Linked DNA regions of Struthio camelus. The protein of the gene in region 1 purifies or fractionates together with the protein of each later gene. This does not show direct contact. Links are inferred from orthologs where the notes say so. Each region holds a gene or a part of one and is shown in the gene's direction. Other genes may lie near its edges.

Evidence for each region.
Region 2: the proteins of NDUFAF3 (region 1) and NDUFA13 purify together in Homo sapiens (co-immunoprecipitation; 3 studies listed by BioGRID and IntAct, with this or other methods). This does not show direct contact. The link is inferred for Struthio camelus from reciprocal best matches to the Homo sapiens genes NDUFAF3 and NDUFA13.

What each region holds. Positions count from the first base shown.
Region 1 is NC_090955.1:10,148,582-10,156,227, reverse strand, and holds the start of NDUFAF3 (NADH dehydrogenase [ubiquinone] 1 alpha subcomplex assembly factor 3), read left to right. Parts: upstream 1-4,645; coding exon 4,646-4,818; intron 4,819-7,646. Other genes in the region: DALRD3 (DALR anticodon-binding domain-containing protein 3), read right to left, coding at 250-318, 539-652, 774-832, 1,086-1,209, 1,622-1,704, 2,019-2,077, 2,564-2,634, 3,050-3,172 and 4 more. UniProt on the Homo sapiens protein: Essential factor for the assembly of mitochondrial NADH:ubiquinone oxidoreductase complex (complex I).
Region 2 is NC_090967.1:6,475,502-6,482,093, forward strand, and holds NDUFA13 (NADH dehydrogenase [ubiquinone] 1 alpha subcomplex subunit 13), read left to right. Parts: upstream 1-3,982; 5' UTR 3,983-4,067; coding exon 4,068-4,161; intron 4,162-4,337; coding exon 4,338-4,416; intron 4,417-4,542; coding exon 4,543-4,614; intron 4,615-5,122; coding exon 5,123-5,192; intron 5,193-5,842; coding exon 5,843-5,962; 3' UTR 5,963-6,085; downstream 6,086-6,592. UniProt on the Homo sapiens protein: Accessory subunit of the mitochondrial membrane respiratory chain NADH dehydrogenase (Complex I), that is believed not to be involved in catalysis. Complex I functions in the transfer of electrons from NADH to the respiratory chain.

The sequences.
Region 1 (7,646 bases):
AGAAAGGCAGCAATGTGGGGGCTGGTGGCCACAGTCCCCCTTAGCCCCAGAGGCATCGCTGCCTCTTCACCCTGCTGACGTGGCCTCAGAGCCCTGCCCCAGCCTCTTATCTTGCTGCTGGCACGCAGAAGCCTGCTCGTGGCAGCCCAGCCCCACGGGAAGGCCTCCGCAGCCTGGGCTAGTGTAGCCCCCTGGGAGGGCTGCAGCGCTGCCCCCCCTTCAGCAAGTCACCTGGGCTATTTGACTCACCCCCAGGATGTGGACACGGTTGTAGTAGGAGCTGAAATCCATGCTGAGCTGGATCAGGAATTTGCACACCTGCAACACGGAGAGCTAGTGTCGGCACTGCAGGGTCTGCTCTTGGGTCGTCTCCCCCACACCAAACAGCACTCGCAGTGTCACAGTCTCGTCCCAGGGAAGCCCCTCAGCACTGTCCCGGTGTTGCATACCGGCGGGCAGCACCCTTCAGGGTGCAGCCTTGCCCCAGGCTGGGGCTGTGAGAGCAGCACCCATGGGTGCTCCGGCACGTGGTACTTACCGTCTCTGCGCTGGCTGTGATCCGGATCCCCTTGCTGGGTGAGGGCAGCTGTGCTGCCTGCTGCAAGACTTCGGGGAAGGGCAGGAGATAGTTGAAGAGCAGGAGCCATTCGCCCTGTGAAAGGGTTCGGTGTGTCCGAGAGGGCCGGATCCCCCTGGGCCAGAAGCATCGATCCTCCGATCCTCCGGAGCTGAGGGCACACAGCTCCCTGCAGCCTCCGTCCCTCAGCACTCACCTCTTCCCGGAGGCAGGAGAAGTTCAGTTCTGATGCTGGCGGCAAGGGTGGGTATGTGCCTGGGAAGGAGGCGAGAGATGGCTGCTGTGCGCATAGCAGCCCCGGTGCTGGGAGCCCTGGGGTCTCCCTGCTGCAGGGACAGCCCAGGGGACTGCTGCACTGGAGCCCCGTCAGGCCATCAGCCTCCTGCCTCTGGCAGAGTCGCTGCTGAGGCGGTTGTGGGGCTCCAGGAACAACCCCATCCCCACGCAGCCGTGAGGAACAGCCCCAGAGTCGCTGCTTAGGGAGAGGGCCCGGTGGGCTAGGGCTCACCCCGCTCCACAGCCCGCTGGTAGGTGTCGAAGAGCGTGGCCAGCCGGGCACAGTTGTACATCACGAAGGCGCCGCTCTTGGTTCCCTTTGTGGAGATGCTGCTGTCCTCCAGGTCCAGAACGATCTGAGGGAAGAGAGAGGCTGCGGTCCAGGCTGCTCGGCACACAGCCGGTCCTGGCACGTCCCTGCACCTCTCGCTGGGGGAGCGGAGCCTTCCCCAGCAGGCAGAGCGTGACCACCAGTGTGCTGAGCCTGGGCCCGTCCTGGGCAGATGGGTGCAGGCTACCGGGGCTGGCTGCTGGTGCAGGAACACCAGCCTGCACCTGCTTGCTTCAGCCCATGGGAAAGCCCTCTGCCCCAAATCCAGGGCAGCCAGAGCCCACAGAGCGCCTCCCCTCTCCCCGTCGCTACTTGTCCCTCTGCTTCTGCCCGACCTCAGCCTGTGCCATGAGCTGTAGCTCCCAAAGAGCGGTATGTCCCACTGCTCACAGGCCCCCCGGCTCTGCACAGACCGTTGCAGCTCTGGCCTGTCCTACCTGACTACGGTGGGCAGTGCTCAGCATCTCAAACCTGATGGCAGCCGCTGTCAGGACATCGATAACCTCAGTCCAGGCCTCGTCTGCAAAAAAACACAAATGGGGCCACAGCACGGCTTGCTCCAGCCCCGCGTACCTGCCACCCTCAGGCAGAAACCCCCCAGTGCGGGCTGGGAACCAACACGCTTCCCTAGCCCCTTCTCGCAGCAGAGAGAAGGGGACCTTCTGTGCAACGGTTCAGACACCTTCCTCCCAAGCAAGGTCAGAACCCCGCTCCTTCCCAGGGGAGAGACCTCCTGGCTGCAGCCACGAGACCCTGAGGTGGGTGGGTGGGTGGGTGGGGGAGACTTATGGGAGCAGTGCGGAAGCAGCATCTACGTGTGGAGCAAACCCTCACCTTGTGCGAGTTCCCCATACTTCATCACAGAGGCTTCGTACATCTGGCGCTTTCGGAGCCTGGGAGGAACACAGACAGTTAGAGCCACCACCGCCTCCCCAGGGCGAGCCTGCTCCAGAGAGGGCCCGAGGGCTCCCCCAGCCTTCGGGCTGCTGGGGCTGGTCACACCGCACGGGGCCTAGCTCCTGCCCCGGCCTTTCCTCCCAGCAGCGCTGCTGGGGAGGGGGAGAGCTACAGCCCCCGGCAGTCAGTGCCAACAGGGCCAGAGGCAGCCCAACTAGAGGAGCCTACTAAGAGCGAGGAGGGCAAAACAGTTGTCTTCCCTCTCCTGCCCCTGCCGTGGATCTCCAGGCCTCTAGAGACAGCCACGAAGCCGCAGAAAAGCGGAACGGAGGAAGGCTGCTGGGACCACACAGAAACTTCCTTAAACCTCCGGCACGCTCATCTGTTCAGAGAGCTTCCTGGGTGTCCGCAGGGCCAAAGCAGAGCCCAGGCAGCCTGGTCGGTGGGTGACACAGCCAGCTCCTTGCTAAATACCAACTTACTGGAAGTACTGGTCTGCCCCAATGGGGGATGAGGGCTTTGCTATCTTCACTGGTCCACAGACAAGGTGTTTCTGAAAAAGAAATGAGACAGCAGGCTTAGGCTCAAGGACTTAGAAGCTGTATCAGCACTAAAATGCAGTGCCAGAAGAATTGAACCTGGAGAGCAGCCAGGGAAACCTCTGCTCACAGCTATGGAAACAGGAAAAGGGGAACACAGAGTCAGGAGCTGCTGAAGTGCACTGGTGCGTTCAGTCAACAGCCCGGTTCTGCCTGCACCCCTGCAATCCCCTCCTGCCCTTCCTTCTTCAGCACTAAGGTCCCAAGGGCTCCGCAGCCTGGGCAAGACTGCGGAGGGGCCAGCAGGGCTGAAGGGAAGGCTCCCGAGGAGGCGAGGCTGGACCTCGGATTCACTGCAGGGACGGCAGGAGAGCTGGCTCAGCCCGAGGACACTGGGGGCCACGATGAAGAAGGCAGAAAGTTCCTCACCTGCAGAGCTGTGTGGGCTCCCGGATCCAAAATCCTCCAGAGCAGATCCATCTGCTGCTGCTGGAATTCCTCCTCGCAGCTCAGCACGTGCACCACGTGGCAGCAGCCTGCCTGGCCGCCGGCCTGCAGCAGAGCACAGCAGCGAGCTCGGACGCCGGCGCGGGACAGAAGGGAACGCCGGCGGGAAGCGAGAGCCAGGCAGCGCGGCGGCGGGGTTACTCACCGCGCACTGCAGGACGGCCTGCTGCAGCTCCGCCAGGCACCGCAGCTTCTCCTCCGTCACTGAAAGGAGGAAGGACAGTCAGGGAGGGAAGCGAGGGCGCGCGGCACCCCTGCTCCGTCCTGCCCCAGCCCGGCAGGTGGAAGGGGAACAACGAGGAAAGGCAGTCTACATCTAAACGCTCCTTATTCTTGTTAAGGTAATTAAAAAAAAGAAACGGACTCCCGTGCCGCCCTTCACGCCCCGTGCTGCCACACTAGCGGCCCACGGCGCTCACCCCGGAGGACGTCCAGGTTGGGGTCGTAGCCCTCCAGGTGCTGCTGCTCCACGAAGCTCCGCAGGTCCACTTCAGCCACGACGTCCTCGGGCAGGGCAGCAGCGGCGCCGCCGGCCCCCCGCTCGCCGGCCGCGACGTAGGGCGACCGCGCCAGGGCCCGCTTCAGGGCGGCGATGGCCTCGGGGCCGCCGGGGTCGGGGCGGCCGCAGGGCCAAGCGACGCGGAGCTGCCGCAGCACCTCCCGGCTCGGCTCGTCGCCCAGGGCGGGCACCAGGCGCACGCTGGCCCTGCGACGGAGAGGGAGGGAGGTGGCGGTGAGGCCGCGGGGCGGCGGCGGTGGGGCCGGCGGGGGGGGTGGCGGCACTCACCCCTGGGCGCGCAGCACCTCGGCCAGGTGGTCGGCGAGCAGCACGGGGCGGAGGCGGCGGGGCGGCAGGGCGGCGGGGCCGCGCAGGCCCGGGCAGTGCAGCACCACGCGCGCCGGGGAGGCCGGCGGTGGGGCCGGCGCAGGGCCGGGGCCCAGCAGCCGCCGGAAGGCCTCCGGCCGCCGCACCTGCACCGCCAGCCCCTCCACTGTCTCCTGGCACCCACTCAGCGGCAGCACTTCCGGGCCCGACAGTGACGTCACGCGCGCCATGACGTCAGCAGGCACCTGCCAGAGACACGGGGGGATGAAGGCAGAGAGAAACCGCTGGGTAAGGCCCCTCCCCCTGCCTCTCTGGCCCCGCCCCCGCCCAGGCAGGCCCCGCCCCCCGCCCAGGCAGGCTTCGTCTCCGGCGCGCCGGCCCCGCCCCCGATGCCTGGCCCCGCCCCTGCCGCCTAGCAGGCCCCACCCCCGCCCAGGTAGGCCTCGTCTGCGGCGCGCCGGCCCCGCCCTCGCTGCCTGGCCCCGCCCCCGCCGCCCGGGCCGGCCCCGCCCCCGCGGCCTACCTGCCCCCCGCCGAACGCGGCCCGCAGCGCGGCCTGCGGCGCCAGGAAGTCGCGGTGCCGCAGGCGGTGGGCGCCGCTCTCCTTCCGCCAGAGCGCGGCCGGCCGCCCCAGCGCGCCGTTCAGGGCCCGCAGCGTCGCCGCCACCGCCGGCCTCCCCTCGCCCGCCTCCATGCGCTCCCCTCGCCGGCCGCTTCCGTCGACCCCGGGGCGTGACGTCACACCCCCCTTCTCGGGCGGGGCCTGGCGGGAAGGCGGCCGCCATGTTGGGCGCGGCGCGCAGCGTGCCTGCGCGGCCATCTTGGGCGCGGGTGGGTTGGACGGGGCCGGGCGGCCATCTTGGGGGTAACGGTGGCGGCGGGGGGGGGGGGGGGCGCCATGCTGGGCGTGGCGGGCAGCACGGCGAGGCCATGCTGGGTGTGGCGGGTCGCAGTGACCGAGCCCCCGGGAGAGCGGTGGCGCAGCCGGTGGGGCCTGCACGGCCCCCGGCGGCCGCTCGCCCGCCAGGCCCGGCCCTCCTGGCCAGGGCGTTTGGGAGCAGGAGGGACGCACCTTCCCCAGGCAGCAGTTCAACCTGCCCCGAAACGCTGCCCCAGCGGCTGCTCCTTCCCCTCCCGGCCTCTCAGAGCCGAGCCCGCTGGGGGCGGCGGGGAGCGGAACCGAAAGAGGGCTGAACCGCGCCGTGGAAAAAAACACGAGCGGCTGCGAGGGCCGGGCAGGAAACGGGCTTTATTGAGCGGCCGGCGGACCGGCCTCGGGGGCCGGGGCTCCTCCGAGGGGAGCCGCTCGGCCTGGCCGCGGGCAGGACGGGGGCTTCGGCCACGCAGCGGCCCGTCCCGCCTGGGTGACGCTGCCCGCCGGGCTCGGGGAAGGGCCGTCCCCGCCGGCTCATCAGCCCCGAGGGGAAGGAGGTGGACGGAAAGGATGGGAGGCCGCGCCTTGGCGGTCTCGCTGCCCGCCGCACAGCCCGGTTCCTCCGCGGCGGCGTTTCACAGCCCGCGTTTACGTGGCGCGTGCTGGCGGGGGCCCCTTCCCTCCTGCCACCCCCGCGCTCGCGGCTCCGGGGTCTCCGGGGGTCGGGCCGAGGTGGGGGTGCTCTCTGCGCCGCCCACAGCCAAGAGGTGATCTGAGACTTGCTGCTCACACCAGACCAACTGCTGACTGTCTGCGGGGCAGGAGCCGCCCGGGGCCTCTGTCCGGCGCGGCACACCCCGACGCGGCCTGAGAAAGCGCTCGGACCTCGTCTCGGGCCGCTGCGCCGGCAGAGCCGCTGCGGGGGGGTCGGCTGGCTCCGTCCCCGGCCCTGCAGGGCTGGGGGGTCCCGGCCCACGGCGGCACCGTCCCCGCGCGGCTCCCTGCTGCGGCGCGGCAGCAGCCCTGCGAAAGCCGGGGTGGCGGGGGGGGGGCCGGGCCGCGTGCCCGACGCGAGGCTCACGGAGGCGCCGAAAAAGCTTTGGACAGACACGACATTCCCGATGGCTCTCCGGCTGCCCGCTCAGCGGGAGTGATCGTGTCATTCCAAAGCCGTCTCTGTCTCTCGGGGGACCGGATCCCACCGGGGTGCCGCTCGCCCTGCCCTACGCCGCCTCCCGCCCCACCGGCGCTGGGTGTTGGGGGGGAGAAACCGCGGGCCGGGGTAGAGCCCCGCGCGGTGGCGGCGGCGGCGGCAGGAAGCCGGCGCAGCATCTCGTGACTCGCGCCGGCCCTCGGCGGCCACATCCACGCTGCGGCCGGCAGCCGCTCGGCACGCTCGCTCCGGCGGTTTCTCCCCAGGAAACGAGCTGCTATCTTTAGCCGGCGGGGAGGCACGAGGTTGGGGGGGGGGCAGGCCTGTCGGAGAGCCCCCGGCATGGCCGGGGTGGGGTGGGGGGGCCGGACGCCCCTTTTTCCCAGCTCGCAGCCGCTGGGGGCAGAGGGGCCGGGGCGGCGGGGGCGGCGGGGCCGAGGCGGGGGCGGCGGCGCGGGTAACGAAATCCCAGGGCAGCTGGGCGCAGCGGGGACAGCTGCTTTTGGGATTCCGTTGCCCGCGCGGGCGCCGGGGCCGGGCCGGGCCGGGGGCTGCCCCGCCGCCCCGCCACACAGGGCGACTTACCGCCGGGCTGGGGGGCGGGGGGGGCCAAGGGGTTGTGCTGCAGCCCCCCCGCCGTCGCCGCGGGTCAGGAGCCAAAGGGGAGGGCGGCGCGGCCGAGCCGAAAGGAAACGGCGCCAAACAACGCGCCGGTGGTGGGGCCGGAGCACCTGGCGCCGTCGTCGGAGCGGCCCCGGAAACCCGAGCTGTCCCCGAAGCAGGGCACCCGCCCCGGCACCTGCGGCGCCCGCCGCCCCCGGGGCCTCCTGGCTCCGTGCCGCCTGGCTGCCCCGGCGGGAGGCCTTCGGGCACCCGCCGCGGGGGAAGCGAAACCGGCCTGCTGCCAGTGCCGGGCCGGCGGTGCGGGGTGGGGGACCCCAACGGCGCCGCGGGCACCTCGCGCTGGGGGGTCCAAGGGTTGGGTGCAGCCCGGCGTCTCCCCACCTCGGCAGGGTGACGGGAACGGCTCCGCTCACGGACGCCGGGAGACGTGCCGATAACCGCCGCGGTGCCGGGGCTGCCGGGCTCCGGGCCAGCGGTGCGGGCGCGGGAGCAGAGCGGGGAGACGGAAACAGGAACCCGAGCGCCTGCCGTGCCGGCGCAGGGGAAGTCACAGCCGCAAGCCGCAGCACGGGGGCTCAGCCCCAGGCTGATGGCAGCGGGCCCACCGGGGGGGGGGGGGGGAGCTGTGCCGGGGGCACAGGGTGGCAGCAGAGCCGAGCCGTGGGGCGCAGGGCAGGAGCAGAGCCGAACCGTGGGGCGCAGGGTGGCAGCAGAGCCGAGCCGTGGGGCGCAGGGCAGGAGCAGAGCTAAACCGTGGGGCGCAGGGTGGCAGCAGAGCCGAGCCGTGGGGCGCAGGGCAGGAGCAGAGCCGAGCCGTGGGGCGCAGGGTGGCAGCAGAGCCGAGCCGTGGGGCGCAGGGCAGGAGCAGAGCCGAACCGTGGGGCGCAGGGTGGCAGCAGAGCCGAGCCGTGGGGCGCAGGGCAGCAGCAGAGCTGAACCGTGGGGCGCAGGGCAGGAGCAGAGCTGTGCCGTGGGGTGCAGGGCAGGAGCAGAGCCGAACCGTGGGGCGCAGGGTGGCAGCAGAGCCGAGCCGTGGGGCGCA
Region 2 (6,592 bases), on another chromosome or scaffold:
AATTTTTTTTAAGCCGTCCAAGATTTTGAGCAGGCTGTAAACTCCGCCGGGCAGAGACAAGGTGCACGAAGAGGCGGCCGCTCTCCTTTCGCGGCGACGTAAAGCTAACCGAGCTTGCAAACTCTTATCTGCAGCCCTTACTGCAGCCAGCTCCTGCTTCTGAAAAGCAAACCAGCTTTTCTTTCTGTTCCCTTTTTGCAGTAATACAGCCTTGCTTTTAAGTTGCACTTAAAAGTAGGAAAGCACTCAACGCGTTTGCTGTCAGATGTTCTTCCCGCTGGCAATCATCCTGGAGGGAAAAGAGCAACTCCTTGAAGTCTGGTCCTTGAAGGCTTTCGGAGGAGGGAGGGGCTGAGCCCCGCCGAAAGGGCCCAGGAGCTGCTCGAGCCCCGTCCGCATCCCCAGACCCTCCCTTGACCTCTTTCACCGGGAAGGATTTAAGTGAAGGTAGGAAAAAATAAATCCAAAGTAACAACTTACCCTTAAATATTTATACAAAAGTGTTATGTTTGACCCTTCTGTTTTGCTAACTAATGAAGTCTGTTTGGTAAGCACGCGGCATGCTATGCAAACACATCTCGCTCGTTCTCGCTTCAGGCTGCATGGGGCTGTTCAATAGGACTTCTAAAGTTCCTAGGGAAAAACAAAAGATTTGGTAGGCCTAGAAGACGGTAAATCACGGCTTAGGGGCTCAGGTAGTAGATGGGAACCTCATTGAATACGCTCATTGTTGCTGCAGTGCAGAAATGAAGTTATTTCTGTAAACCCCAGCCCTGGCGTTCGGCAGCGTGTTTGTCACCTGAGCTCGAGGCAGCCAGTGCTCGGAGTTGCCCTGCGCTCGGTGGGGAAGGGGCTGCGAGGACGGCGCAGTCCTGGTCCTGCGAGCGCCGCCTGCGCTAGCACCTCCGCGGGCCTCCGGGCCGCGTCCTGCAGGTTTGGCTGTCCGCGCGCCGAGGCAGCGGGGCACCTGGTGCTTGGATGGGCTCGTGGGCTCCTGTAAGCTGGGGAAGTGGAAGGAAAAACCGATGCATAGACTTGCACCTTTTGGCAATTAGCACGGTGCTGTATGAGGTGCGAAACATCCAGGGGTGCATTTACACGGCGGAGGCCTGGCCTAGATTCTCCCTGCTGCTGAGTCTGGCTCAACATTTAGCTCCCTTTTAAAAGCTCAACTTGTAGTAGAGTTCTGGCCAGAGTTAATGCTCTAACACACAGAAACCTTGCTTTCTGCCGGCAACTGGGGGCTTTGGTTTGAGAAAGGAAGGTGTGTTTTTTCTCATTTTAAATGAGTTGACGGATCTCTCTATTTTTCCCTTCCCCTCCTGCCCACTCTTGGGAGGGGTTCACCCTCCTACCTGCGAGGGTCAGTCCCTGCCCAAAAAACTGTGGTCTAATTACATGTAGAAAACCTGAATAACCGTCCCTCCCCGAATGCATGTGAGGGGACAGTCCTGCCAGCTTTTGTTAGGGTAATTTTTCAGTAGAAAAAGCTCCAGGTCGGTGTTAAAGACCCTGAACTCAGACCCTTCCCGCTGCCGTCTGCTGCAGAGTCGGGCACCGCCTTTCAGCAAGTTTTGCGATTTGGCTAGCACAGGAAACACATCTCTTGTTTGTCCGGGTTTTTTTTCCTCCTCCAAACTGCACCCGGGACGGCCGACGTGCAAGAGGAATCCCCTTCCCGGAGCGTGTCGTGGTCTCGCTATCGGCGCTGTCCCCGTTAGGCTGCGTCCTCGCACCAGCTCGAAAGCCCTGCTCTGTCCTCTCGTCCCCTCCACACCTTCCTGTCTTAGCTCATGAGCTCTGTGAGCTTAATCATGAGCTAGTGACGGTTTTGCATCTCCTCTGGTGCTCAGCCTGAGTGGGGGAAACAAAGGGAGGGGGAGATCCGTATCGGTCCGAGATTGCGGCGGAGCAGCAGGCCGATGCCGCGGCTGCCCGGGGCAGGAGTTTCCTCAAAGGGGAAAAAAAAAAACATCAGAGTCCCGGCGCGAGGGGATGTTCAGAGCCTGATCCGGCAGCACCCGGCACCCTTGGAAGTTATTAAGGGACCACACAGGAAGGGGAGAAAAGGAGCCGGAGCGTGGGAACGTGGCCGGGGCCGGGGCCTTGCTGCCGCGGAGGCTGCTCCAGGGAGAGTCGCTCCTCCGCGTTTGCTGGGTGCTGCCGGAGGGCTGGCACCAGTTCAGCTTGGCCGTGGTTTCGTCGCTGGGAGCAGGGACGAGGCTGGGGTTTGGTGCCCGGCGGGAGGGAGCTGGGGCTGCGCAGGAGGCTGGATACGGGGTGCCAGCCCCAGCCGCGCGCCCCGTGCATCCCATGCAGCCGTGCTTCTGCCCGTCCTTTGTCCTCTTTACGGTTACTTCTGGGGTCTGATGTGCAGCAGCGACGAAATCCGAGCCAGCAGAGGGAGATGAGGAGTGAGCTGCCCGGCTCACACGGGCCCTGCCGAGCTAGGGCAGCTCAGCGGCGCTAGCAGCCAGGGAAGGAGGGAGCTCGCGGCGGGAGCCGGGCGCAGGCTCTGCGGAGGGAGCTGAGGCTGCAGCAAAAGGAGCAGGAGGAGCTCCAGCCGGCGGCTCTGCCCTGGCTGCTGCCCGGCGATGCGGGCGAGGGCTCAGGTGCCCCGGGGCTGCTCGCAGGACCCCGCGCGGGGAGCTCCTGCCCCACCACCAGCATTTTGGGGCAAATCGGAGGCGCTTGGGACAGCAGGGACCTGCTGCCGGCAGGGACGGCTCTTGCTGCTGGCTTTTCCCAGGGCCAATGCAACCGTGTCCCCACGCTCCCGCGTGCCGTTTCCGCCGTCTGCCCGCGCGGCCTTGGCCATCTGCAGCGCTCGGCGCGAGGGAGCCGAGGGATTACAGCTCTAATCGGGGTCTAAGACAGCAGTGACCTCGATCTGCCGCGTTCAACGGCTTAGTGAGCTGCGGGATGCTTGGGGAAGCGGCGGGGAGTAAAAACGAATGGGGAGCGGGTAATTGCTTTAATGAGTGCTGGGGCAGGCGCTCAGCACTGGCTGGGGGCTCGCAGCGCCCCGGCTTCGGTGCAAGCGCGCTGCGGGTGCCCGCTTGCCTGCAGGTGTGTGCCGGTGGGTGCCAGGCTCGCCGCTCGCCTCCCTCGGGCACGCGGCTCGGCCCGAGTGCCCGGGCTCTGGGATGCGCCGGGCCCCTCCGCCAAGGCCCTGGCAGCTGCTGGCGCTGGGCCAGGCCCCGCAGAGGCGTCGAGCCTGCCGGGGCGAGGCGGGAAAGCCCCTGCTCTGCGCGCTTTCATGTCGACCTCTCTGGGGGTTTTCTTACGTGCTTCTTGCCCACGCCGACGCTGCCCTGCAGCACCGGGCCTGGCAGCGGACCCAGGTGTCCGGGCGCCCCTGTGCAGAGCGTGTACGGAGGGTGGGGGGGATGTGGAGCATGCAGTGGTGTGCAGGATCTGCGTGCTGGTGCTGGGGGGTGCACGGGAGGGTGCCGGGTGCATGCACTGGTGCTGGGGGTCCACAGGAGGGTGTGGGGTGCATGCGTGGGTGCCAGGGGTGCATGGGAGGGTGCAGGGTCCATGCATTGATGCTGGGGGTGCACAGGAGGGTGCGGGGTGCTTGCGTTGGTGCTGGGGGTGCACAGGAGGGTGCGGGGTGCATGCACTGGTACTGGCAGTCCATGGGAGAGTGTGAGGTGCACGCGTTGGTGCCGGGGGTGCACGGGAGGGTGCATTCACCTGTATGGAGGGTGCCCCAGGACTGGACACACACACCAGTACGGTGCATGCACGGGCGGTGTGCAGGATCGGTGCCCGGTGTGCACAGGTACTGGGGGTGCACGGTGCGTGCACCAGGACCGGGCACGCATGCACGGGGATCTCTGTGCAGGATCGGTGCCCGGTCCCGGCGGTGCCCGGTGGGGTTGGGGGGGGGGTGCAGGGTCCGCGCCCAGGCTCGCGGCGACCCCTCGCGGCGGCACCGGCGGGTGGGTCCCATCACCTGGCGTTGCCGCTTTAAGGCGGGCCGGGTGTGTGTGTGTGTGGGGGGGGGTAGTCACGTGAGCGCGCCGGCGGACGTGACGCAGGGCGGCGCGGCGGCCGCCAAGATGGCGGCGCCGAAGGTGAAGCAGGACATGCCGCCGCCGGGCGGCTACGGGCCCGTCGACTACAAACGGCACCTGCCGCGTCGCGGCCTCTCAGGTACCGGGGCCGGAGGGGGCGGCCTGGGCGCTGGGGAGTCGGGTCCCGCCGGCCGGGAAGGGCTCGGGAGCCGCGTTCGGGTTGGGGGGGGGGGAGAGGGCTCGGACGCCTGGGCCCCTCGGACGCCTGGGCCCCTCGGGCGGCGCCGCCGCTGCTGCAGCCGCCGCTCTCCGCAGGTTACAGCCTCTTCGCGCTGGGCATCGGCAGCCTCCTGCTGGGCTACTACACCATCGTCAAGTGGAACCGGGAGCGCAGGTGGTTCAGACCCCTCCCCACCCCCTCAACCCGGGACTCCTGGGCCCCCCCCGGGGGTGCTTCGCCCCCCCCCCCATACCGCAATGGGGGAGGCGGCAGCTCTGACCCGGCCCCATCCTGCTGCAGGCGGCTGCTCATCGAGGACCTGGAGGCGCGGATCGCCCTGATGCCGCTGCTGCAGGCGGAGTCGGACCGCAGGTGCCGGGGACGGGGGGGGACGCTGGCTGGCAGCGGGGCGATGCCCTGGGTCGTCCCCAAGGTGCCCATGGAGGGGGGGGGGCGGGCTGGGGTCTCCCGCCGCTGTCGGAGCACGAGCGGGGCCGGGGCCGGCCCCGAGGGCTGCGCTGCCCTGCCGGAGCGGGTGGGGGGGGGGCGCGGGAGGGGTCCCAAGCCCTTCCCCAGGTCTCTACGGCCTCAGGTGGGCTGTTCACCCGCCGTGGGTCTGCGTTCGCCGCTTGCGCGAAGCCCGGCGTCCGCCCTGGAGAGCGAGCGGGGTTTGCTGACGGTCTCCCAGCGCAGCTCTTGCCCTCTGTGGCTTTCTCAGTCTAGGTGGAAAGCAGCGCTGGCTTCTTGCTTAGCCAGGGACCGTCGCGTGGTCTCTGGAGAATAGACGTGGGGGCTGCGGCTTGGTTGAGGTTTAACTCCCCGCACAGCGTGCTGCACACGCGGTTTCGCGATCGGGGGACAACCTTTCCCGCTGTTACAGGACCCTTCGTCTGCTACGGCAGAACCTGGACGAGGAGGCCAAAATCATGAAGGACGTTCCTGGGTGGCAGGTTTGTAACTCGCAGACGCCACAAGAAAGGGGCCAGAGCAGGCAGCAAAGGGGCAGTGAATGGAGGAGCGCTGGGATCTGCCCTGCGCTGTCCCTCAAAGCAGCGTCTCTTACCGGGCGAGGAACTGGCCCCTCGGGTGGGTTTTGGTCTGTCTTGTGTTTGCTCTGCAAGCTCAGATCATCTGTGCTTGAAGAAATCTCCCAGGACCCAGGTGTCCTGCCAGGTTTATCAGGTGGTAACGAGAGCAAAAGAGGCCAAACTGAGTGGTGGAGCTGAGCCGTGCCGGCGTGGGGTGCGAGGCGCGGGGAGACGGCCTTCCCGCTGCTCACGGCGGGGGCTGGGGGTCTCAGCAGCCTGCACAAGAAATCAAGGCTTGTGGGGTGCAGCACGTGGATGTTGGGGCTCCTGTTGTGGCCTTGTGCCCTGATGGGTCCGTTGGACACCTGCGAGGGCTCCCTTGGGAGCGGCTCATATTTGACATCATCAACGTAGACCTGACCGGGAAGTTAACTTGCCCGGAGGTAGCTGTTTCTGGAGCTCGTGGACCGGCACAGCCGCTCGCCCGCGTGCGGTCGGAGCGCGGGCTCTCCCTGGCGAAGGCCGAGCACTCGCGTTGGCGCGGCCTGTTCACCGGCTCTCTCGCTCTCCAGGTTGGAGAGTCCGTGTTTCACACCGACCGCTGGGTCCCCCCGACGTTAGACGAGCTCTACTACCTGCGGCCGGCCAGCGAGATGGACAACGAGAAGTTCGGCTTGCAGTATTATGTCTGAAGCTTGGCAGAGCCCTGCCTCGCTCTGGATTTCGGTTTCCCCCGATGCGGTGCTGTCTGTCAGCTGCATTTGTTGTTGACCGTGTGTTTGAGCTTCTGCTATTAAAACCACACCGATACGAGATGTCTTGCATGTTCCCGAAGAAGCTCTCTCCGTGTCCCTCTGGGAGAAGCGTCAGCGCTCTTGGGGAGCGCTTGCTACTCTCTTCCCTGTTTGTGCTGTCCCAAGCACGTGTCTGGGGCAGGGAGAGGTCCTGGTATGGAGCAGGCTTGCAGGGCCTTGGTGCCCGTCCCTCTGCGAGGGGCAGGCGCTCGCTTCACTGTGGCCCTTGCTGTTGGCAGCTGGCTCGGGGCTGAGCTGGGCCAAGCTCCGTGTGCTGAAAGCACCCTAGTGCTTTTGGGCGCCTGCCCGGAGCTCGGCTCTCCCAGCCCTGCCCGTCCCTGGCTCACGGCTCTGCCGCCCGAGGCACGTGCGGGGCCTTGTCCCTTGGTGCTGCAGCCTGCTTTGGGGAGCAGGGCAGCCAGGCGGTGAGGGCAAGGCAAGGGCGCTGAGAGCCTTCACGGCCCTGCTGCTGTCACCGGTGCTGTAGGAGAAGCTTCAAAGGTGAGAGTGGGGTTAAAAACGGAGGTT